6 linked regions of the Sus scrofa genome follow. The protein of the gene in region 2 interacts with the protein of the main gene of each other region in a biochemical or structural test. Links are inferred from orthologs where the notes say so. Each region holds a gene or a part of one and is shown on either strand. Other genes may lie near its edges.

The links.
Region 1: the proteins of TOP1 (region 2) and SRSF1 form a complex in vitro, tested with the Homo sapiens proteins (2 studies listed by BioGRID, with this or other methods). The link is inferred for Sus scrofa from reciprocal best matches to the Homo sapiens genes TOP1 and SRSF1.
Region 3: the proteins of TOP1 (region 2) and NCL form a complex in vitro, tested with the Homo sapiens proteins (2 studies listed by BioGRID and IntAct). The link is inferred for Sus scrofa from reciprocal best matches to the Homo sapiens genes TOP1 and NCL.
Region 4: the proteins of TOP1 (region 2) and NKX3-1 form a complex in vitro, tested with the Homo sapiens proteins (2 studies listed by BioGRID and IntAct). The link is inferred for Sus scrofa from reciprocal best matches to the Homo sapiens genes TOP1 and NKX3-1.
Region 5: the proteins of TOP1 (region 2) and UBE2I form a complex in vitro, tested with the Homo sapiens proteins (2 studies listed by BioGRID, with this or other methods). The link is inferred for Sus scrofa from reciprocal best matches to the Homo sapiens genes TOP1 and UBE2I.
Region 6: of the proteins of TOP1 (region 2) and TOPORS, one has a biochemical effect on the other in vitro, tested with the Homo sapiens proteins (2 studies listed by BioGRID). The link is inferred for Sus scrofa from reciprocal best matches to the Homo sapiens genes TOP1 and TOPORS.

The regions. Positions count from the first base shown.
Region 1 is NC_010454.4:34,279,319-34,283,618, forward strand, and holds the start of SRSF1 (serine/arginine-rich splicing factor 1), read right to left. Parts: upstream 2,801-4,300; 5' UTR 2,711-2,800; coding exon 2,517-2,710; exon of another isoform or gene 2,090-2,516; intron 2,082-2,089; coding exon 1,897-2,081; intron 1,551-1,896; coding exon 1,378-1,550; intron 1,175-1,377; coding exon 980-1,174; 3' UTR 1-979. UniProt on the Homo sapiens protein: Plays a role in preventing exon skipping, ensuring the accuracy of splicing and regulating alternative splicing.
Region 2 is NC_010459.5:43,708,831-43,713,069, forward strand, and holds the start of TOP1 (DNA topoisomerase 1), read left to right. Parts: upstream 1-1,439; 5' UTR 1,440-1,749; coding exon 1,750-1,782; intron 1,783-2,105; coding exon 2,106-2,130; intron 2,131-4,239. UniProt on the Homo sapiens protein: Releases the supercoiling and torsional tension of DNA introduced during the DNA replication and transcription by transiently cleaving and rejoining one strand of the DNA duplex.
Region 3 is NC_010457.5:132,167,715-132,171,214, reverse strand, and holds part of NCL (nucleolin), read left to right. Parts: coding exon 1-282; intron 283-643; coding exon 644-871; intron 872-980; coding exon 981-1,067; intron 1,068-1,256; coding exon 1,257-1,398; intron 1,399-2,388; coding exon 2,389-2,513; intron 2,514-3,500. UniProt on the Homo sapiens protein: Nucleolin is the major nucleolar protein of growing eukaryotic cells. It is found associated with intranucleolar chromatin and pre-ribosomal particles. It induces chromatin decondensation by binding to histone H1.
Region 4 is NC_010456.5:7,784,237-7,788,293, forward strand, and holds the start of NKX3-1 (homeobox protein Nkx-3.1), read right to left. Parts: upstream 2,801-4,057; 5' UTR 2,721-2,800; coding exon 2,396-2,720; intron 1,167-2,395; coding exon 748-1,166; 3' UTR 1-747.
Region 5 is NC_010445.4:40,562,442-40,565,941, reverse strand, and holds part of UBE2I (SUMO-conjugating enzyme UBC9), read left to right. Parts: intron 1-1,542; exon of another isoform or gene 1,543-1,682; intron 1,683-1,859; 5' UTR 1,860-1,868; coding exon 1,869-1,934; coding exon of another isoform or gene 1,935-2,102; coding exon 2,103-2,186; intron 2,187-2,873; coding exon 2,874-2,946; intron 2,947-3,500. UniProt on the Homo sapiens protein: Accepts the ubiquitin-like proteins SUMO1, SUMO2, SUMO3, SUMO4 and SUMO1P1/SUMO5 from the UBLE1A-UBLE1B E1 complex and catalyzes their covalent attachment to other proteins with the help of an E3 ligase such as RANBP2, CBX4 and ZNF451.
Region 6 is NC_010452.4:33,872,929-33,876,428, forward strand, and holds part of TOPORS (E3 ubiquitin-protein ligase Topors), read left to right. Parts: intron 1-1,621; coding exon 1,622-3,500. UniProt on the Homo sapiens protein: Functions as an E3 ubiquitin-protein ligase and as an E3 SUMO1-protein ligase. Probable tumor suppressor involved in cell growth, cell proliferation and apoptosis that regulates p53/TP53 stability through ubiquitin-dependent degradation.

The sequences.
Region 1 (4,300 bases), on a different chromosome or scaffold from region 2:
AGTATTCCCAACTAGATTATCTACACCAATAAATTGGAATTCTATTATTTTGCTTTCATTTTGTCTTAAAAAAATGAAGTAGCAACGCTATTATATCAGTCACACAGAGGACATGCAGATTTAGCAGTATTGATATTATACTCTATCTGGTTGGAATTAAAGACACCCTGTACCCACAAGTACACCAACAGCAGGTCACACATTAACAGTTGTAACTAAGCACTGTGACAAATTAATCAGTTCTTCCCACATTAGTCCCTAATAAAACAAAAAAGGGAAGGGAGCAAAACAAATTGTTACAAAATGGGCCATGTAATTTTGCCACAATTGCCAGAGTTTTAAAGAGTAAAGCAATTGTAGCCAAATATAACTGCATAAAATGTTTTCAAGTGTTTTAAGATAGATGTATATAATCACTTTAAACCCTTGCCTTTTAGTATAAGGTCAATACTGCCAATTTCATCTGTGACAATAGCACTTGGAGTCATACCATTGCCTCCATTATTGATCTGATCCTCCTCAATCCTCCTTTTGACAATCCTAAAATGATTGAAATGTGCTCCACAATCCTTAATCCAAAGCATTCTTAATCCATCTCTTCAGATATGTCTACAGAAAGACACATGAAAAGCAAGATAAACATAAGAACTTCCCCAGGTAAGATAACCACCAACACCCCCAACATCCCAGTTCACACAAACCAGAGCAGAATAGACATTTACACAGTATCACAGTCTGAAGAGCATGGAGAGTTAACTAAATTTAAACAATCCTGTCTATGACATCACTTAAAATACAATTTATCAGACATGAGGGGAATGTAGATGTTAGGAGCAAGGGGATATTACACAAGAATGCAATTCAACACTTTAGCCCACTCTGAACAAAAACAGTTTTGAATTAAAAAATGAAAAGATTGTACTGAATAAAGGAAAACTGTATACAACATGGGTTCTACAAAAAAGTGTCACCAATCATCTTATGTACGAGAGCGAGATCTGCTATGACGGGGAGAATAGCGTGGTGATCCTCTGCTTCTCCTTGGGGAATAACTGCGACTCCTGCTGTTGCTTCTGCTACGGCTTCTGCTACGACTACGGCTTCGAGATCGAGATCTTCCATAACTTGGACTTCTGGGCCCATCAACTTTAACCCGGATGTAGGCAGTTTCTCCCTATTGGATAGACAGAACTTTCGATTGAAAGATCTAAGCTTTCACCTGTCTTCAGGCATGCTGAATGAATCAACGTAACTCAAACCAGAAATCTGGCACTTTACTGGGTTTTTACTTGGACACCCTTGCCTGAATCTTACCTTCAAATTCCACTGTTAAGACCACTGTATCCAATTCTGGCCAAGGAAAAGAATATAACCTACCTCATGAGATCTAAACTTAGTGTTATCCAGTTTTCGAACTGCATAGGTCATATCTTCTTTCCGTACAAACTCCACGACACCAGTGCCATCTCGGTAAACATCAGCATAACATACATCACCTGCTTCACGCATGTGATCCTTCAAATCCTGCCAGCTTCCACTTGGAGGCAGTCCTGAAAAAGTGCGTTTTCTTTCAATACCAATTATCCTAAGTTTCACATTAAACATAAAGGTTACATTAAAACAAGACTTAAAACCAACGGTCTTTAACATCCCGTTTAACGAGCTGTTAAAAGAGTTCGGAATCAAGAGTCCAAAATTATTTGTAAAGTTAAGGCTCTTCTTATCTTCTAGGTACTGCAACCTAATTCGCTAAGTCTCAAATAGAGTAGTCCTTGTTAACTAAAGTCACCCAAGGCACTCCGGTTTAAGTGAAGACCTGGCATGAAAACACCAAGAAAAACTTCAAAACGGTGTGCGGTCCCCTTATCATCAATCCGCACGGACCCGCCAACTCACCAGAGACAACCACTCTGTTTTCAGAACGCCTGGATGGGGGGCCATAGCGCCCTCGGGGAGCCCCGCCGCCACCACCCCCGCCGCCGCCTCGGCCGGTACCACGGCCGCTTCGAGGAAACTCCACCCGCAGACGGTATCCATCGTAATCATAGCCGTCGCGACCATACACCGCGTCTTCTGCGTCTCTGCGTGACCAGAGAAAGCCAAGGGGTAAGGAAAAGAAGAAAAAAAAAAAAAAAGGGCCAGGAGGGGCGGCTCACTCCGCCGGGGAGCGAGCGGGCCCCCGCACATGCGCACCGGGGTGGAAGAGCCCACATGCGCCGCATAATAGGAACGGCCCCTCCCCCACCCAGAAGCACGCCAGGCTCCCGACCACTCCAGCAGCCCTCGGCGCCTCAGTTTCCCGCTCCGAGCCTGCGAGTCGGCTCTAGGGACGTCCGTGGGGCCCGGCCACCAGAGGAGCCACGCCGACTCGGCTCCTTACTCGACTCCTGCATGGGCGATATCGTCTGGCCCCCAACCCAAGAACCCACCGCCCCATTCCCCAAGTGAAGGCCCCGGAGCCTTCCCCAACTACTCCAACCTATTTCCTCAAGGCCGCAAGCCCCTGGCCGCCTCACCGCGGGTCCTCGAACTCAACGAAGGCGAAGGGCGGTCCTCCGCGGCGATTCTTCAGGTCGATGTCGCGGATAGCACCGTATTTGTAGAACACGTCCTCAATGTCCTTGGTTCGGATGTCTGGAGGTAAGTTACCCACGTAGATGCGGCAATCGTTGTTCCCTGCCGGGCCACGGATCACACCACCTCCCGACATGGCGGCGACGAAAAGCGCGGACTCGAGAACAGGCCTTCCCACCAAGCCTAGCGAGCGGGAGAGCGAGCCCGCAGCGACACCACGTCTCCCGCGGCCCCTCCAAAATGGCGCCTTTATCAGCTCGGCGCACGGATATGGGGGGGAGGGAGGAAGAGAAGCGGGAGGAAGCAGCTATTCGATCTCACTACGCACGCGCAAGAGCGTAACGGGTGCTGCGAGAGTGACGCTCGCGCAAGCGCGACGTCACCCTCCGCGCGAAGGGAAAAAAGTTCCCGCCTTCCCGATTTGTCGAGGGGTTTAATAAGGGAGTGACCAGCCTTGTGGCAAAATTAAATATAGAGCTCTCGTAAAAGGGGTTATTAATCTCTGTCGAATCCTAAAGAATCAGCAGTTTCCTCAGGAATGTTTCTCTCAAAAAAACGGCGTCTTGAAAGTATTTGGTGAAACCTAGCCTAAAGCTAGGTCCCACCATGCTCTGCGCTGTTAACGGCCTTTGGCGGGAAAGACTGCCGGGGGCGGAGTCAAAGGGGGAGGGACCAGGCGGTTGCTCCGGAAACACGGGCATCCTTGGAGAGTGCACCTCGTTCAGGAGTCGCGTTGCGGGTGAATCAACGCGGAGCCGAGACGTGACTTTGTCTTCCCGCCCCATCTGCGAACGGGCCGTGGACTGCTTGGACGACTGTCTAATGCAGGGGAACCTGGCTGAGACGCTTTAATAAATATTCTACGCTAAGTACCGTTCCACCTTCGGTTCAGAACTGACCTCAGTTCAACGCTCCTTGTGCTCGTGGCGGTAATTCCTGGCGGCATCAGCCAACCAGGACCCAGACCTCTGCTTCTTTTTTAAATCACCTATCGCCAGGGCCCAGCGCAGCGGAGAGGTCCAGTGAAGGTTTGCAGAATGAATTGTGTCTGTTATTTCTACAACGTCTTTCAAAGAACGAAAAAGACGCGCGCCCTCCTGTTTGTATTGCAGAATCCTGACGTTCCTTCCTTTTTTGGAACTCATTAGCAAATCTCTCAGGTAATATGAATGAGCAAAGTGGATGTGTGAGGATTTCTGTGACCACTGGAGACCGAAGTGGCGGCTTAAGGACTCATCTCGCCAGCATGTTGGTCCAGGGAGATAAGAACTTGTTACATTTTGCCACGGAGCCATCTGAAATCTGGATTTTTATATGAAATACTGGGATTTTAAAATATTAATGGTGAATTCAAATTAAAAAAAAAACCCTGTCATAAATATGCTGAAACAGGTCTGCACCCTGATTGAGAGGATGATTTTCTTCATTTTTATTTATTCGCATCAATCCCTCTCCCCAGTGATGTGATGCTGTTTACAGAGATACCAGAAAACGTTATTGCAATTGAATGGAGAAATCACGGAGAATATAAGGGGAAATTAAAATGAAGTCATGGATAAAGTTAATACACAAAATGGCTGCAGTAAAAATTTGTGAGTTCTAAAGATGGATTACAAATTTGACCCTAGTCATCATGGCAGTCACAGTAAAGAAGGAAACAGTATATTCAAGATCCAAAGTGCCTTAAAAAGATTTTTCAGAAGGTCATGTTTTCAGTTCTAAAAGG
Region 2 (4,239 bases):
CCAGATGAGGAAATAGGGGTTCAGAGAAGTTAAACAACTTTCCTGAAGTCACACAGCTAATCAACAGAAGAGCAGAATTCAAAATTAGATTGGTTTATGGAGTTCTCTCTTGGTCCAGTGGGTTAAGAATCCTGGGTTGTCATTGCTGTGGCTCTGGTTACAATTGTAGCACGTTTCATCCCCAGACAGGGAACTTCCGCATGCATGAGTGTGACCAGGAAGAAAAAAAAAAAAAAAGAACTTTGAACTTTGTACTAAGATGAGAAGTACTGTTGGAGGGGATAATAGATCTGGTGTAGAGAAATTACTTTGGCTACTGTTGCAGAGCAACTTGTGAGAGGGCCAGAAGGGAAGCAGGGATCCCTGTTAGGAATGTATTATGTAGTATAATCCAAGCAAGAGATAATGCAGACTTCGACAGGTGTGTGGCCAAGGGAAAGATTGAAAACATGCAATCAGCTGGATGAATGAGAAAGAAAAGGAAGATGTCCAGGGTGGAGCTTTTCTAACTGGGTGGTGGAGGAAGATGGTGAGTTTAGGGAAGTTTGTGAGGTATCCAAAAGGAGATGTCAAGTAGGCAGTTAGTAGGTCACTTATCTCTGACACAATTAAACTTTAGTAAAATAGGCGACCTCAAAGAGCTATTGTGTCAAATCAGAGCAGAGTAGATGCTCCATAAGCGGCAGTTCTCTCTCCAATTCCTCTCCCCTAGGCCTCTTTGCGCGCTAAGGATACAGCAGGGCACAGAGCCAGGTCGTGTTCACCCCGCGATCTGGTTCTCTTTGGTCCCTATCCTATCCTTTTTCTTAACGCAATTCCTGGCTCAGGAAGGTCTGAAGAAAGAACTAATGAAATTAGGCCTCTTGAGACCCAGGGCCACACGTACCCGACTGAAAACGGGAGCTAAACCAGACTTTTGGTGGGCTGAAAAAAAATAAAATAAATTTTAAGAAAGCATGAAATAATCGAGGAATTGGAAAGCCTGGACAAAGGCTGGGGAAGGAGCTCCTCCCATCAAATAGCCTCGGAGTATGGTTAACGAGAGAGGAATAGCCGGTGAGAGCTCAGGGGCCCTGAACGCCAGGGTTTCTGAATCTCCGAGAAGAGGAAAAAGCGAGACAGAAGCACGGACCAGGCCTGGCGCGGTCCCGCCGCGGCCTTTAAAGGCCCACCACGTGGCCGAGTGGCCGGCCCCGGTCCGGAGGCGGTGTCCGGGCTGAGCCTGCGCACAGCCTAGGGGAGGGGCCTGGTTTCCGAGAAAAGGCGCTGGGAGAGGAAAAGAAGGCTGCTCAGGATGTGCGGCCGTGGGAGGAGTCAACTTCTCATGCAAATCACAGCGGCGCGCGAGGACTAAGGGGCGGGGCTTACGATGCAAAGCCAGGTCCTCCTTGGGAAGTGCGAGGGGGCGGGCCCCACAACCCTCGGCCTCCTTCCGCGAGTCTCTGACGTCAGCGACGTCTCATTTAAAAGCGGCCGCGCAGGCGCAGTGAGCCGAAATGCGAACTTAGGCTGTTACACAACTGCTGGGGTCTGCTCTCGCCTCCCGCCCGGCAGTCAGTCAGCGTCGCCGCCGCTGTCGCCGCCTCAGCCTTACCGGGAGTCTCAGGCCCGCCCCGCCGACGTTTACTCGCGCTTCCGGGAGCCTTCGGGAGCCTCCGGAAGCCCCTGTCCACCCGCACAGGCCGGTAGCGACCGTCTGCGTCTCCTCGGCGCCCCTCGCCGCCCGCCGCACTCGCCACTCCTGCCGACATGAGTGGGGACCATCTCCACACCGATTCCCAGGTACGGCCCTGCCCGACCCGCCTGGGTCCCCGGCGCCGCCCCGGCCCTCCAAGACCCCCGGCGCAGGCCCCGGCCTCGGCCTGGCCGCTTTGACAGGCCGGAACCCCTGGGTAGGGGCGGCCGGCCGGAGGCGATGGGCTCCCCGGGCGGAAGCCGCCAACTTCCAATTTTGGGGGGCTGGCGGGCCCTGGCGGCCGTTCCCGGGGCCCCTCCATCCCGGGGGGCGCAGGGTGGGACCGGCCCACGGCCGCGCGCGCTCGCCCGCCGGCCGCCGCGGGGTGAATGTGCCTGTTGTTTCACGGTCCCTCCTTTTCTCTCCCCAGATCGAGGCGGATTTCCGACTGAATGGTGAGTGTGCCCCCTCCCCGACCCCGGGTCCCCGGCCGCCCGGCCCGAGCCGGGCAGAGGACAGACATGGCGTCCCAGAGACTAAGTCCCGGCTTCTCGCTCACCGGCCCCATTGTTCCCATCGGGCCGCCTCTGGACCCCCTTTCCGGGGACCCCACTGCCCCCATATCGCGGCCCTCCCAAGAGGGGGCAACGGAGACCCCGCGTCGCCCGTCACCGGGCGTCGGGCAGCCTTTCCGGGCCCGGATTCCTCCCGGGAAAGTCGCCCTGTCGACAGTCGGGACTTAGTCTCTGCGCCATTTTCTTTTTCTCTCTCCTCTCCTTTCTGTGCTTGTGTCTCTTTCTCTCCCTCCCTCGGCTCCTTCCCTGAGCTGCCCAGAAAGAGCTTTCTGCAGAGCAAAGCCATATAAATCACAGACCTCAGCAGAGGGAAGGGTGGGAGCCTGAATTGTTACTATTTTTTTCCAAAGAGAACTTTATTTGAGGGGTTATTCCCCTACTGCTTCTTGTTTGTTTCCTTTTCTGCTTCCAGAATGAAAGATACCCTTGAGCAACTGTTGATCCCCCCACCCCTTCGGTGAGATGTTTGATGGTTAGAATTAGGGCTCTAAAACTAAAGCCCTCCTTTGTGGAGTTCTTCACCTTTTGAGATTGCTTTCCCCAAGTTGTGTTCTTTGCCAGGGTAGTGGTATCTACTTTCAGAAAGTTTACAAGTTGTCTGTGGGCCATCCAATGTTGGACTTGGGCATATAGATTTTTTTTTTTTTTAAGTAAAGTAACACCGACTAGAACTTTTCATTGGGGCTGAGATTCCCAAAGCAGTGTTTTTCTAACGCAGTTTCATGTGGTTGTCAGGAGGAAAGGTTGTTCAGCATCTCATCTGGCCTGGAGTACTGGCCTTTTCTTGTGGGCTGTGGGTCAGAAAAAAAAGATTTTATTTATTGAAACAAAGAGTGGCCAGCACCCATTCTTCCTGCTCATTCTTCTTCAGAAGCCACTGTTTTTCAGGAATTGAGAGCTAGCTGACTTTTGCCAGATGTTCATATTTTTGAACCCTTTTCAGCCAAATCAAGGCACTTACTCTGAGTATTTCCAGTTCAGTTGCTCAGTGAAGATTCCCCAGGAAAAGCTTCCCCTGTGAGCTTTTCAGCAATCCTTTTGGAGGAGAAGGCACCCTCTGTAGTGTGCTGGGAATTCCCACCCATTCTGATGGTATACATAATTCTGCTCAGTTGAGTTTGGGTTCCGGGAATCTCTCCAATGGGAGAAGCTGATGAGTAGGTTTTCTGATGTTGTAATCAGCAGTCCATCGTGTTAGCCTGCTCTACTGAGAGCAGAGCAGCCTTATGTTCAGATTTTGGAGTAGGGCATCCAGCAGGAGATAGTACTAGGGGAGAGGAGAGAATCTGGTTAAAATGTAACAGTTTTTGAGCACCTGAGAGATGTGCCCAGCACTGTGCTAAGTACTAAAGTTGAATCTTTGGCCCGGACACTGCTGTTCTTGCCTTCAATCCAGTCTATCTGGGGAGACATAATTAGTTAATTATAAGGTAGGTGCTGGGGCATATGTATACCCGAAATGCTTTGGGTGACTAGGGCATTCAGTCTGGGGGTGGGGAAATTTCTCAGAGGAGGTAGCTGGGTGTTGTGCAAGACTAGGTGCTGAGTGTCAGGGGTTAGAGTATTTCCTAACTGTTCAGTCAGCCTATCAGGGTTTTAAAAGAGGGAGATGAGGCCCTTGCAGTTCAGAAAGCCAGAGTGTAGATATGTTTCTTTGGGATGTGGAAGCAAAGAAAGGATGTGTCAGATGAGGATGTCCTTTTGACCTCTCTTGGAAGAAGGTAGGATCTTAATACAGAATAAATAAATGTTCTTTTGACTTTGAGACTAGGCTGAGTAGGTAATGTATCTAGTAATGAAACAAAGTGTTGTCCTTTCTCAGAAAGTTAACCTCCGTGGTTCTCACATAGATTATACAGAGGAACTATTGTATATGTGAATGATGGTAGGCTAGGTAAATTATTGATCTTTAGTGCCATTTTTTGGTAGAGACTGGAGTAAATTGGTTATATTGACTTTTAGAATTTTTCACTTGTAATAGCAATAATT
Region 3 (3,500 bases), on a different chromosome or scaffold from region 2:
CAGCCAAAGCATTGGTGGCAACCTCTGGTAAGAAGGGAGCAGCCGCTCCAGCTAAGGGGGCAAAGAATGGCAAGAATGCCAAGAAAGAAGACAGTGATGAGGAAGACGAAGACGACAGCGAAGAGGATGAGGAGGACGAAGAGGAGGACGAGGACGACTTTGAGCCAGCAGTGGTGAAAGGAGCTGCTGCTGCTGCTGCTCCGGCCTCCGATGATGAGGAGGAGGAGGAGGATGAAGATGAGGATGAGGACGAGGACGAGGATGACGAGGAGGAGGAAGATGGTAAGGCATTGTGTAGTAGTTGTTGGGTTCTTGTTTGCAAGATATATTAGGGTTGAGGTTCAGGCAGTGATGCTCGACTCCCGACAACGTGGGCCTTTGACGGGACGCATGGCAAGGTTTCTTTTGGCTGGTTGGGGTGCACTGGCGGGGTACCCATGCGTGGTTGCCTGCTCCTGAGTAAAACACTTCAGCTTACCTTGTATTTTCCATGATGAAGGAGTTTATCTCCAAGTGCTGTTAATTCTTCTTGTGGCTGCTAAGCACAGTGACATGGGCAGGAGTACACTTTTTTTCCCCCTTACATTTTCCTGGAACTGGGGTAATTCTGAGTTCCCTTGAGACCCGTTGGTTTCTCTTTCAGACTCTGAAGAAGAAGCTATGGAGACGGTACCAGCCAAAGGGAAAAAAGCCCCGGCAAAAGCTGTTCCTGTGAAGGCCAAGAGCACTGCTGAGGATGAAGATGAAGAGGAGGACGAGGAGGACGAGGAGGATGAAGAGGATGATGATGAGGACGAGGATGAAGAGGAGGACGAGGAGGAGGAGGAGGATGAGGAAGATGAAGACGAGGACGAGGAGGAGGAGGAGGAAGGTAATCAAGTTAAGATTCTGAAGTACATTGACTTTTTTGTTTAAAGAAGGTACTTGAGCATGTGTGGCTGACTGTGGCTGACATACAGATTGTTTGAAATCTTGTCTAGAGCCTGTCAAAGAAGCACCTGGAAAACGAAAGAAGGAGATGGCCAAACAGAAAGCAGCTCCTGAAGCCAAGAAACAGAAGGTGGAAGGTAACTTGGAGAATTGGGGCTGGTGAATGACACCTGATCAATAGCACACGTGATGAACAACACAGGGACTTAATACTGAAACCTGATGTGACACTGCAATGTGCTGATGTGCCATGAAATTTTACGCTGGAAATGAAGTTTATGCCATACTTTAGAAAAGACTAAATTTGTGTTAATTTTTTTGTGCAGCCACAGAACCAACTACGTCTTTCAATCTCTTTGTTGGAAACCTGAACTTCAGCAAATCTGCTTCTGAATTAAAAACGGGTATCAGTGACGTTTTTGCTAAAAATGATCTTGCTGTTGTCGACGTCAGAATTGGTGTGTCTAGGTAGGTATGGAGCAGTTAATGCCACAGTACTTCTGCGCGTGGATCTGCTCATGTTTTCCTTCCTTTTGTAGAACCTTAGCTTAAATGTGTGTATGTAAGAGCGTTCAGAGATTAGCTATTAAGTCATTGAATTGTCAAATTGTAAAAACCCCAAATGGATTTTTTCGTTTTTGGTCTTTTTAGGGCCATACCTGCGACATGGAGGTTGCCAGGTTAGAGGTCTAATTAGCTACTGGCCTACGCCAGTGCCACAGCAATACCAGATCTGAGCCACATTTGCAACCTATGCTACAATGGTAACACCCGATCCTTGACCCACTGAGTGAGGCCAGGGATCAAACCCACAACCTCATGGTTCCTAGTCGGATTTGTTTCCACTGCACCACAATGGGAACTCCAGTCACCCATAACTCTTGATACAGCACATGTTTCGTTATAAGATTTGATGTTCTTAGAATATTTATTACACCTGAACAGCTATGTTATGTTAGTTAATGCTTTTAATTAGATAGGATATTTTTTTTTCCTTCCTTTTTTGGCTGTCCTGCGGCATACAGAGTTCCCAGGCCAGGGGTCAGGACCAAGCCACAGTTGGGACCTATGCCGCAGCTCTGGCAACACTGTGCCGGGCCAAGGATCAAACATGCATCCTGGCACTGCAGAGACGCCACTGGTCCCATTGTGGCACAGCAGGAACTCCAGGATTGGGTTGTCTTAGTGCTAAAGCAGGGTTCTTTTGTCATCACGTCAGCTGTTGTGTGCAGTGTAGCTAATGAGCATCTTGGAGGTAAGCTTGCATCGGTACTTAGATGCTCCCTGCAGCCCCAGTGGTTTAGGTGCTTTTCGACTTCCTCAGTCCCTGTTCGCATCATCACGTTAGTGTTCTGTTGCCCAGAACCCACGTAAGGTGGCTCTTGTTCAGTGCGGCTTGGTTTGTTTTTTCTTCCTCCACCTGTAACTTTTTTTTTTTTTGTCCTCTTCACCTTAAAGGAAGTTTGGCTATGTGGATTTTGAATCTGCTGAAGACCTGGAAAAAGCCTTGGAACTCACTGGTTTAAAAGTCTTTGGCAATGAAATTAAACTAGAAAAACCAAAGGGAAAAGACAGTAAGAAAGGTATGTAAAACTCTAGCTAATTATGATATGATAGGTAACTTGTTAATGTTTATTTATGATGTTTATCTATATTAGATTAAATATAGGCAAGTCGGCCAGGGTCAATTGTTTAACCTTCTTCTTTTTTGCTTCGTGATGTTACGAGGATTAAATGAATTGGAATGTTAAATGTTTACAGCAGTGCCTGGCACTACTTGTTAGACTTTTTAAAAGTGAGCAGTTCCTGGAGAAATGAACCCTACTGGTATCCATGAGGATATGGGTTGGATCCCTGGCCCTGCTTAGTGGGTTAAGGATCCAGTGGTGTCAGGAGCTTTGGCTAAGACACAGCTTGGATCCTGCATTGCTGTGGCTGTAGTGTAGGCCGACAGCTGTAGCTCCCATTCAGCCTCTAGCTGGGAACCTCTATATGCCGCAGCAAAAATCAATAAGTAAGTAAATGGATTAGATATACCTAAATTGTTTTTGTTTTGTTTTTGTCTTTTTGCCTTTTCTAGGGCCGCTCCAGAGGCATATGGAGGTTCCCAGGCTAGGGGTCGAATCAGAGCTACAGCTGCCGGCCTACGCCAGAGCCACACCAGACCTGAGCCATATCTGCAACCTACACCACAGCTCACAGCTATGCCAGATCCTTCACCCACTGAGCAAGGCCAGGGATCGAACCTGCAAGCTTTTAGTGGTTCCTAGTCAGATTCATTAACCACTGTGCCACGACGGGAACTCCTAGATGTACCTAAATTGTTAACCTAATAGTCCTCACTGGAAGTAGAGCAGATCCCTAACTACTCCATTTGTATTCTCTATACACACTGGTTACATTTCAAGTGTGTTTATGATATTTTTAATTCAAAAATACTGAGCCATAACTACTCTGTACATACCATCTTAGAGCTCTGTTCTAAGTATTCAGCACATAGTTTATTCTCAGTTATGACAGAGCACCTGTACATTGTAGGATCTCAAAAAGTATTTCTTGGCGTTCCTGTT
Region 4 (4,057 bases), on a different chromosome or scaffold from region 2:
GATTCTTCCGGCCCCAGCCCACCTCTTGAGGGAAAGTTTCTGTTTAGACAGCTTGTCTTAAAACCACAGTGAGTTCTTCTTGTTCTGCTTGGGCCACCCTGTAAATACTTCAGTTGGCCTATTATTTTAAAAGGAAGAATAAGAAGCTTATATTTTCATCTCCTCCTACCCATCTCTGTATCCTGTGCCAACCTGCCCTGAGCACCACAGGCTTCTCTGTGGGACCCTGTGCTTCCTGCTCTCCCCCAGGGATGGAGAGCAACCCGTGGTCATACTCCAAGGCCAATGAGAGGCGTCTGACCTTCAGTTTAATTCTGGAGGTGACATCTCATCTTAGCTCTCCTCCCCTCCCCCACACCCCCTTCAGGAGGAGCGGATGCTCAGTCACAAAAGAGGATGGAGCTGGAGGCGGAGAATTCTCACAGGTGATGTGGGCAGCCTCCACAAGTGATGCTGGAAACAGCACTTGACTGTATCCCGCCCCACTTCAAGCGGGTCTCTCAAAGCAAAAATGACCTACATTCCCGTGGGGGGGGGGACCTATTTGGCTCTTAAGTTATTTCCTGTCCCAGGTCTTTCATTGGCACACCAGTGAAGAATCTGGGATTTCCAAGCAAACCTCCAGTGCTTTCAGTCTGCAGGTCTCTTGCGGCCCAGTCCTCCCTGACCCCGGGCCCTTCTGCCTTCCAGAGGGACCACCAGGGGAAGGCAGCTTTTGATCACACATGGTTGTCTGAGCCGGCGTTGTTACCAGAAAGCTGGGCTCCAGCCTCCCAAGCAGTAAAGGTAGGGGTAGTAAGGGTAGGTGTGATGCATGGCGATGAGGGAGGCCCGAGAGAAGCCTTCCTCCTTCAGAGCCGGCAAGGAGGGGTGCTTCTCCAGGTCCCCCAGGTCCGAGGTGAGCTGCTTCCGCTTGGTTTTATAGCGTCTATTTTGGAACCATATTTTCACTTGGGTCTCCGTGAGCTTGAGGTTCTTGGCCAGATGAGCCCTTTCGGGGGCCGACAGATACTTCTGGTGGCTGAACTTCCTCTCTAACTCTATGACCTGAGTGTGGGAGAAGGCGGCCCGGGAGCGCTTCTGCGGCTGCTTGGGGGTTGGGGGCAGGCTCGGCAAGGCGCCTGGAGTGTTTTCACAGTCCAGCAGATAAGTCTCAAGGTGCCTATCTGGAAAGGAGAGCGGAGAGGCAGGGATGGGAAGGAAAACGTTACATGTTAGCAGGGAAGAGAATAGAATTCAATCCACCCTTATCTCTTCTGGTGAGTGAACAAACAGCCCACTGTCAGTTTGGATACATTGCACTTTTTTCACAGGACTCAGGAACTCTATGAGTGGGGCATGAGTGTCAACTTAGACCATGTATTCATTTTCCAGGAGTCATCAAGACCCCAAGGTAGGAGAGGTTAGTGGTAGAACTTCCTGCCACATTGTCCAGTAGAATTAAATAGGGATTCTGGATCCATGTGTTGAGGAGAGGAGGGAGAAGGGAGGCAGGGCAGGCTCTGAGAAATAAGATACCTGGAAAAGCAGGCCCCAGAGGCATCTGGTGTTAATGCCCTGGTGGCAAGAGAGGGCTTCCGTGGTAGAGAGTTCATTCACTTGCTCTAAACCCCCCCCCCCACTTCTTAAATGAGCCATTAGGATGCCTTGTAAGAAGGCAGTCAATTGAATGGTAATGATACATAGACTTATTGTGGTGATCACTTTGTAGTGTATATAAATATCAAATATTATGTTGCGCACCTGAAACTAATATAATGTTATGTACCAATTTTAACTACCCAAAAAAAAAAAAAAAAAAGAAAGAAAGAAAGAAAAGAAAGTCTACTGCAAATGTTCCGACGGTGTTACATGTCCTCAAGACCAGAGGGGCTCCTAAATTTACTGTTTTATTGCCCATGGGACTGGGAAGCAAAGGGAGTCTTTGCAGGTCAAATCCTAGTTTATTAATATTAATAAGTTACTGTCAGTAACTTGTTATTGTAACTGCCAAGAGGTAACATGAGGCTAGCGTCGATTGTGGGTCCCGCGGTGGCTGGGAGCGGTGTGGGGGTTTTCCACCTGGGACCCTGGGGCACGGTGGGCGCTGTGTTGTGCGCTCACCCTTGAGCCTGGGTCTCCTAGCGGCGCAGGGAGCACCTTGCCCGGCGAGTCAAGCCCATGTCTAAATCCTGCGCCGCCCAGACGCTGGGGTTCAGGATTAATTTCCCAGGCGCGCCCGCAGCGGAGGCGGTGAGGTCTCTTTGCCTGTCGCCACCGGCTCCCGCATCTCTGCAGCAGAGATCCAGGAGGTCCGCCTAGCACACGCTCTCATGCGGTGTAGCCCGCGGGCCGGCTGCCCTTCCTGTGGGACCCACCCCGGCCCAGACCGGCCTCCCCAACCTCGCTAGCTTACCTGGCTCGGTCTCTGCCGGCGGCTCGGCCTCCCTCCGCGCGGCGCGGGGCCGGGCGCTCCTATGGTCCTCAGGCGCCCCGGCGCTGCCTCTTCCTCCCTTGGGCTCCGGCTCAGGGTCTCGCCTCTGGTCTGGCTGGCGCCGGGGCTGCGGCGGTGGCTGCGGCTGCGGGCTGCCCGCTTGGCCTCCGCACTGCTCCGTGCGGTCCCGTAGGATGTCCTGGATGAGGAAGGAGGTAAGCGGCTTGGACTGGATGGGTGGTGCGGCGCGGGGGCTGCAGCCTGCCGTCCCCCCCTCCCCCGGCCGTAGCTCGGGAGCCCGGAGCATCCTGGCGGCTCAGCACCCGCGCCTGAGCAGAGGCCCGGGCATCTGCGCCCAGGCTGCGCCGGCTGCGGCCGCACCACTTTCACTTTCCGCGGCCCGGGTGCACTTATAACCCGGGGGGGGGGGGGGGCGCCGCGCCGCCTTCCCATTGGCCGTACTCCCGAACCCCGCCGCTGATTGGTCGCTGGGCCCTCCAGGTGAGGGGAAAAGGGGAGTCTAGCACTGTCTCGGCCTGGTCTTCCAGAGAGATTCCTTTCCACTTTCGTTCTTCTCCTGAATCCGATCTCGCCTCCCTCCCCGCTACGTCGTTTTCTCAGGCTGGAAGAGAAAACCAAAGCGAGTCTCCTCTTGCCCCAACCCACAAAATAAGTTTCGCTGTTTCTGGAGAATCATGATGCAGCAGAGAAACACTCCATTTAGCTCTTAGAGGACTGTTAAAGTCCCTTTACTCACGAAAAGAAATAGTTGAGGCAGTTAACACCATCCCACTTCACAGATAAGAATTCTGGGTGCCCAGTGACAGGGAGACATTGATAGCAAAGCTGAACCTACTAAATCTAAGGCTTTTGAAAAGACATGACAGCTAAGTGCAGCATCTGGCCCCAGGTTGCCTTCTATACTGGACTTTATTGGGGCAATTGATGAAAGTGGAATAGGACGATGACAAAGTATTGAATCAGTGCTAACATTATTGAAGTTGCTAACAACACTGTGACTGCGTAAAAGAATATTCTTAGGAAATAAACGCTAAAGTATGTAAGGGCAAAGTCCCACAATTTGTGTAACTTGCCCTCAGTTGGTTCAGAAACAAAGATATAGATGGGCAGATAGATCCTATATGATGAAGTGAAGGGGTTAAAATATTAATTGGTGAATTTAAAAAAGAGTATACCAGTGTTCTTTTGAACTATTTTTATTTCTCTGTACATCCTAGTCTAAGACACCTTTCATTTGATTGGAAACCTTTCAAAAAGTTGGTATGTTGTGCGTTTGGGGTGGGAGTAAAGTTACTGTGGATAAAGCAACAGCTAAAGAGAACCACCCTGTGCAATGGGAAATTTTTCACCAAAAATGGTTTTCTTCTCTCATTTTTTTTTTGTAAAAAATTCTAACTTTTTCTTTTGAAATAGTTATAAATTCCCAGGAAGCTGCAAAATCCATACCCTTAGCTTCCCCCAGTGATGACATATTATATATAACTTTGGTATAATGTAAAACCCTGGAAATTGGCATTAATATGCACCATTAACTAGGCTACAGACCTTATTTTATTTTCACCATTTAAAAGCTTGCATTCAGGTGTATGTGTGTGTAGCCCTATGCAATTTTATCACATGAAT
Region 5 (3,500 bases), on a different chromosome or scaffold from region 2:
AAAAAAAAAAAAAGCTGTTCTGTTTTGGGTGCAGGACTGGTGTTACTTGTCTGGGACTTAATCTTGAAGCCTGGCGGGGTGAGAGCCTGTGGAAGGTGTGCTCAGAGTGCTGGGGTGGAGCTGCACCTGTTCCCATGCCTCCTGAGTGGCAGGGGCTTCAAGTTTTGACCGTCTCTGTTCCTCATGGTGGCACGAGCACACCTGCTTGTGGACAGTGCACCACATGCAGTTGGTCCGGTGGTCTGCACTAACTCACCCTGCTTCCGAGACCCGGGCTCCTGTGTCGTGCTGGAGGCTGCCACGGTGATCCCCAAAGGACACCCAGAGTTCCCGGCTCCATGGGGCCCCTGGGCCTGGGGCCCGTCCGTGTCATAAACACCCACTGAGGCTGCCATCCCGGCCTCGCCGACCTGCTGGTCTGCGGTTGAATGGTTGCCGCAGCCCCACCCTCCTGCACAGACAGGGGTGTGTTTGTGTTGGGGGCCTGGCGACAGAGCAGCCAAGGAGCAGATGTGGGGTCAAGGTGTGATTTGTGCTGCTGGAGCAGCTGGGGCCAAAAGGGGTGTGGGGTTGGGCGCGCCAAGTGATTAGGGGGCCGGGGCTGCTGTGAGCAGCAGGCGGCGGGCGGACCCCCTGTGTTTGAGGTGTGCCCCCCCTCGGCGGCGGGGTACTTTCTGGATCCTCCCTTCTCAGGCTTGGTAGTCGGCAGTGCTGTGCTGAGGCTGGGGTCCTGGGTCTGGGACAGGGCTGGCAGGGCTGGTTTCCGGTGCCGTCTGTAGCAGGAGTTTGGCCTTGACTGGTTGAGTGCCACGTTGTGGCCGCATCCGCTGCCCATGTGCTTCCAGGATGCCCCCCCCAGGTCCCCCGCCGACTTGTCAAAGCCTTGCGTAGCGGAAGCACTTGACCTGAGGATCCTTAACATTGTCAAAGACACTGAGGAGCACTGGACACAATGAGGGTCAAGTTCTCCAGCAAGTTCTGTGTCCCCTAAGGGCTGCGTCCTCAGGGACAGCAGGGGTTACAGTCGAGCGCCCTGTGCCTGGCCTGCGTGATGCGGAAGCGGCGGGCACCAAGCCTGGAGGGTCTGTGGTCCGGAGGTGCAGGGGGAGCCCCACACGAGGAATGAGCAGGCTTTCCAGCAGCCCCCCTCCAGTGGGCCTGCTCCCCTTTTTGTCGTCTTTCCTAAAGCAAATGGGAGGCAGTCTTGGTTTGCTCTTGGCAGCGGAAGTGGCAGTGATCCTGGGGTGGGGCCAGTGAAGACGCTCAGGCCTGGCGACAGTCGCAGCGGGGTGCTGGCCTTGCCCTCCTTAAGCTGCCCTCTGTCCGGGGAGCTTTCCTCTGCTTCCCTTCCTCCCGGCGGGGCCTGAGCCTAGATTCCGAGCCCCCGATTCTGTGCTGGTGGCCTGACAGCACCCCAGCTGCAGCAAAGGATGCGGCCCCGCCCCTGGCTTCCCAGGGCTCAGGGGCTCGACACCTCCTGTCTTGTCCTTGCCCCTCGTGTGGGGTCTGGTGGTGAAAGTGGGGTCCCTTTCATTCCGGCAGGCGGCACAGCCGGAGAGGCAGGACTGTCGTGCAGGTGGCTGCTGGGAGCACACGGTGTCCCCTCCCTGTGCGGCCTCTAGCAGCCGTGACCTGGGCCCGGGGTCTTGTCTCTGCCCCTCCGGGGGTGGGAGGTTGACCCGGTAGGTACCTGCACAGGCCGGGACCCAGGGGCGCGAGCGTCTAGCCGGCGGGCAGGGCAGCGTGCGGGGCGGCGGCGCGTGGGGCCGGGTGGGGCCCTTTGGGGGCCTGCTCCTTGGACGTGAGCCTGCTAGGCCGGGCCGCCCTGGCTCACCGCTCACCCCGCACGTCTCTTGCAGGGACTGGAGATGTCGGGGATCGCCCTCAGCAGACTCGCCCAGGAGAGGAAGGCCTGGAGGAAAGACCACCCCTTTGTAAGGAAAGCTTTGCTTCGGCGGGGGGCGGGGGGCGCGGGCCGGTTCCCCGGAGACCCTCGTGCCCACGGGCCGGCCCTTTGGCCCCTGCAGCGCAGCCAGAGGGCTTGTTCTGGGAGTGGGGGGGCCACTGCCGCGGCGCTGACGGGCCTGTGTGGTTTCTCGCAGGGGTTCGTGGCTGTCCCCACAAAAAACCCCGACGGCACAATGAACCTCATGAACTGGGAGTGCGCCATTCCCGGGAAGAAGGGGGTAAGAGGGGGCCCCCGAGAGGGCTCGGGTTCAGGTGTACGGGACGCTGGGGACGGTCACGTGAGCCCTGGTCCTGTCCCTGGTGGGGGGGGGGCACCTCAAAGACAGGATGACAGGTGGTCCCTGGGCATGTCCTGAATCAGGTAGGACCTGGGCTGTGGCAGATGGGGAGGGAGGCGCCGCGCGGCCGGGGGCCAGGGAGGTGCCCAGGCTGAGGCAGCCTGGCCGGGGTGACGCTCCCTGGGACGCCTGCCTGCCCCTGGGTGTGGAGGCCGGGCGTCGGCCACCGAGCTGGCTGTGTGGGGCCCAGCGTGCCCTTCATGCCTGGCCACGGGGCTGCCCCTCGGCCCATCTGAGTGTGCCCGGGTCTCTTCGGACCGGCACATGGCAAGCATTTGGGAGGAAGAGTGCGGTGACCCAGGAGGAAGGAGGCGCCCCCTTCTGTGCTGGGTGATGAGAGGCTCCGTGGCCTCCATCCGTGGCCTCGACGCGCAGGAGGGGGACCCGGGGGCCTGAGGGAAGGCCCTTGGCACCTCTTCCTGGGGCCCACGGAGGCCCTGACGGTGCGCGGGGTGGGTCGGCGGGGTTCTCTCGGTCCGGGGCACGGCGGGAGCAAGCGCAGCCCCTGCTGGGCCAGACCGGCCGCGGAGACCCCTGCTCACCTAACAGAGTGTTGCCTCCCCGCAGACGCCGTGGGAGGGAGGCTTGTTTAAACTGCGGATGCTGTTCAAAGACGACTACCCGTCCTCACCGCCGAAATGTGAGTAGAGCCGAGTCCTCCCAGATCCCTCAGCGTCGGCCGCATTCCTCTGGGACCGAGGTCCTCAGAGAGCTTGGGCCTGTGGGGCCTCAGGTATGTGCCCTGCTCCCCGCAGCTCCATGGGCGCCCGGGGAACTCAGAACAGGCCCAGCTCCCACCCCGGGGGCCTCCTGGGCCCTTCCCGCCGGCGGATGAGCTCCCGCCCTGGGCCGGCGTGCGCGCTGAAGGACCGCGGACCAGAGCCGCCCCCCAAGGGGACTTCCTCGCTGGTTGGGGTTTCAGGCCCAAGCTGCCTGTGCAGACGGCAGAGCGGGCGGCGGGAAGAGAGGCCGAGGCTGCGCCTGCGGTTCTGCTGTGGTGGACGCAGTAACCCGTTTACTTAGCGAAACTCGGGAGGGTTCTGTCGCTGGAGATCCGCACTGGCTGGTGAATGGAGTGCCCTGGTACCTGCCCTGGCGTGTGGAGGGTGCCTGGCAGGCTGTGAGAGCCTTGACTCGGCTGGCTGGAGAGAAGTGTGCTGTCTTTTAACGGCACAAGCAGACTTTCTGAGACTC
Region 6 (3,500 bases), on a different chromosome or scaffold from region 2:
GCGTAGGCCGGTGGCTACAGCTCCGATTCAACCCCTAGCCTGGGAACCTCCATATGCTGCGGGAGCGGCCCAAGAAATAGCAACAACAACAACAAAAGACAAAAAGACAAAAAAAAAAAAAAAAAGAAAGAAAGAAAGAAAGCTAAGGTGCCCTAGATGAGCAAGTTTAGTTTGAAATCTATGATGAAATATTTATATTTTACAATCATAGGTTTTTGTTGTGGGTTTTATTTCTTTTAATTTTCTTGGCTGGATATGGCCAATGAGTCTCTTGTTTAGAAAATTCGAATTTTATTTGACTAGACAGCACAGTGACTGGTAATAGGACTTCCTATAATAAAGGAGGTGGAGAAAGATGGATAATAGGCCCAAGAAAACATACAGGAAGAAATTAATATTTGCCATATGTAAATGATTAGTATAGAAAACAGGTGAAGAGAGATTTTATAGGATAACAAGGCCAAAATGAATGCAATTAGATTTCAGCTCTGGCAAAATCATTTTGTAAGTTGTGGACCAATATAAACTGATAAATTTAAAGAAAACAAAACTAGTCTTTAAGATTCTAGTGATCCTTGTGGGGAAAGATAAGGGGACTGAAAGCATGATTTCAGGATACTTTGTAGTTGACTGGATCAAATAAAAAGTTGAAAAAAAGCTTCGTAGGGATGCCGAAAGGAGTCAGTGATGAACTGAATATCATAGTGGAGTAACAATAGTGTAGTATAATACTAGTGTAGTAATAATAGCAGCAACTAACATTTACTCAGCAGTTGCTACAACCAGACACTGCTCTTGAGTGCTTTTTACATTTACTTACTTCATTTAATCTTCACTAAAAGATCCTTTTCTGTGTGTGAAAGATCCACCAAAAGTAGAGAACTTGTTTAAATATAGGTGAATTTTCTGGTGTGCAGATTTTCTCACTAAAGCTATTTTTAAAGGGACATATGTAATACCTACCACAAATAAAATCAGTAGTCCATATTTTTTGAGACATATGTATGAAAGATATAAGACCTTACACAGAAATAACTCCAACTGAGAACTCTGATATTTTGGGGGTTTGTTTTCTAGAGGATTGGGGGAGGAGGACATAACATTTTTAAAAATCTGGGATAATCATGAGAAAATGTTAGTTGTTAAATCTGAGTGGTGGATACATGGGTACTTGGTATATTTTCTTTTGTAATTTTTTGTACAGTTCAAATATTTCTCAATTTTTTTTTAAAGAGTAAGAGAATATTACATAATATCTGAGAGCTTACTAAGTACCAGGCACCTTTTCTAAGGGTTTGGGGTTTTTTTAAAGCATCTTCACAAATCCTGTGAAGCAGATTGTATTATCAGTGATCTACAGGTGAAATTGAAGCGTGAGGATAGTAACTAGTTCTTAGTCACATTGCTGGTGTGGAATCAGGATTTAAACTTAGGAAATCTGACTTTTAGATCTTGTGCTTTAAGTACTATGTTACTATGCTACACTGCCCTTTTATGTTACAAAGATAGTGAACTACTCAGCTATTTTCACCAAAGTGTGTTTCAGTCATTTGCATTTTTTTTTCAGATTTAGTCATTCCTCTTTTATCAGGTTACTGATATTTTTTTTTCCCTTTTACAGATAATGGCATCAGCCGCTAAGGAATTTAAAATGGACAACTTTTCACCTAAAGCAGGCACTAGCAAATTGCAGCAAACAGTTCCAGCTGATGCATCTCCTGATTCTAAGTGTCCTATATGCTTGGATAGATTTGATAATGTGTCTTACTTAGATCGCTGTTTACATAAGTTCTGTTTTCGATGTGTACAGGAGTGGTCAAAAAACAAAGCTGAATGTCCACTGTGTAAACAGCCCTTTGATTCTATTTTCCATTCTGTGAGGGCAGAAGATGACTTCAAGGAGTATGTCCTAAGGCCTTCACACAATGGTTCCTTTGCTACTCCTGATGTTCGGAGATTCCGCTACCGTACAACTATGACAAGGGAACGAAGTGCTTCTGTTTATTCACCTAGTCGTCCCTTGAATAGAAGAACAACAACTCCACCAGATAGTGGAGTACTATTTGAAGGGTTAGGCCTTTCAGCAAGACCCAGAGATGGTGAAATTTCTCCATTCATGAGACAGATTGCAGTGAGGAGGCCAACAACTGCAGACGAAAGATCTTTGCGGAAAATTCAAGAACAGGATATTATTAATTTTAGGCGAACTCTTTATCGTGCTGGTGCTCGAGTTAGAAATATTGAAGATGGTGGTCGCTACAGGGATATTTCAGCTGAATTTTTCCGTAGAAATCCAGCTTGCCTTCACAGATTAGTCCCCTGGTTAAAACGTGAACTCACGGTTCTCTTTGGAGCTCATGGATCTTTGGTGAATATCGTCCAGCACATCATCATGAGCAATGTTACTCGTTATGACTTGGAGAGTCAGGCATTTGTGTCTGATTTAAGGCCATTTTTACTTAATCGGACTGAGCATTTTATACATGAATTTATCAGTTTTGCTCGATCTCCTTTTAATATGGCAGCTTTTGACCAGCATGCAAATTATGATTGCCCTGCTCCTTCATATGAAGAAGGTAGCCATTCTGATTCTTCAGTCATAACAATATCTCCAGATGAAGCTGAGACCCAAGAGCTAGATATTAATGTAGCCACTGTTAGTCAAGCACCATGGGATGATGAAACTCCAGGGCCATCATATTCAAGCTCAGAGCAGGTGCAGGCTTCCATGTCTTCCCTTTTAAATACTTCTGATAGCTCGGATGAAGAACTTGTAACAGGAAGAGCCACATCTCAGATACAAGGAGTACAAACCAATGAAGACCTAAATAATGACAGTGATTCTTCTTCAGATAATTGTGTTATTGTTGGGTTTGTTAAGCCACTAGCTGAGAGGACCCCAGAACTTGTTGAACTGTCCTCTGATTCTGAGGAATTAGGCTCTTATGAGAAAATGGAGACAGTGAAGACACAAGAACAAGAACAGTCTTACAGTTCTGGTGATAGTGATGTTAGCAGATGTTCATCTCCAAGGTCTGTCCTTGGAAAGGATGAACAAATAAATAAAGGTCATTGTGATTCTGGTACAAGAATCAAATCAAAGAAGGAAGAGAAACACTCTACATCATTGTCCTCTCCCAGAGACCTGAGCTCATCCATCAGAGGAGACAGAGTATATTCCCCATATACCCACAGACACAGAAGGAGGGGAAGATCGAGAAGTTCAGATTCACGCTCCCAGAGTAGGAGTGGGCATGATCAGAAGAATCGTAGAAAGCATCATGGGAAGAAAAGAATGAAAAGCAAACGATCCAGAAGCAGGGAGAGTAGCAGACCTAGAGGTAGAAGAGACAAAAAGAGGTCAAGAACTAGAGATAGCAGTTGGTCTAGAAGAAGCCAGACTCTGTCTCTAAGTAGTGAAAGCACAAGCAGATCAAGATCTCGTAGCAGTGATCATGGTAAAAGAAGATCACGGAGCAGAAATAGAGATCGTTACTATT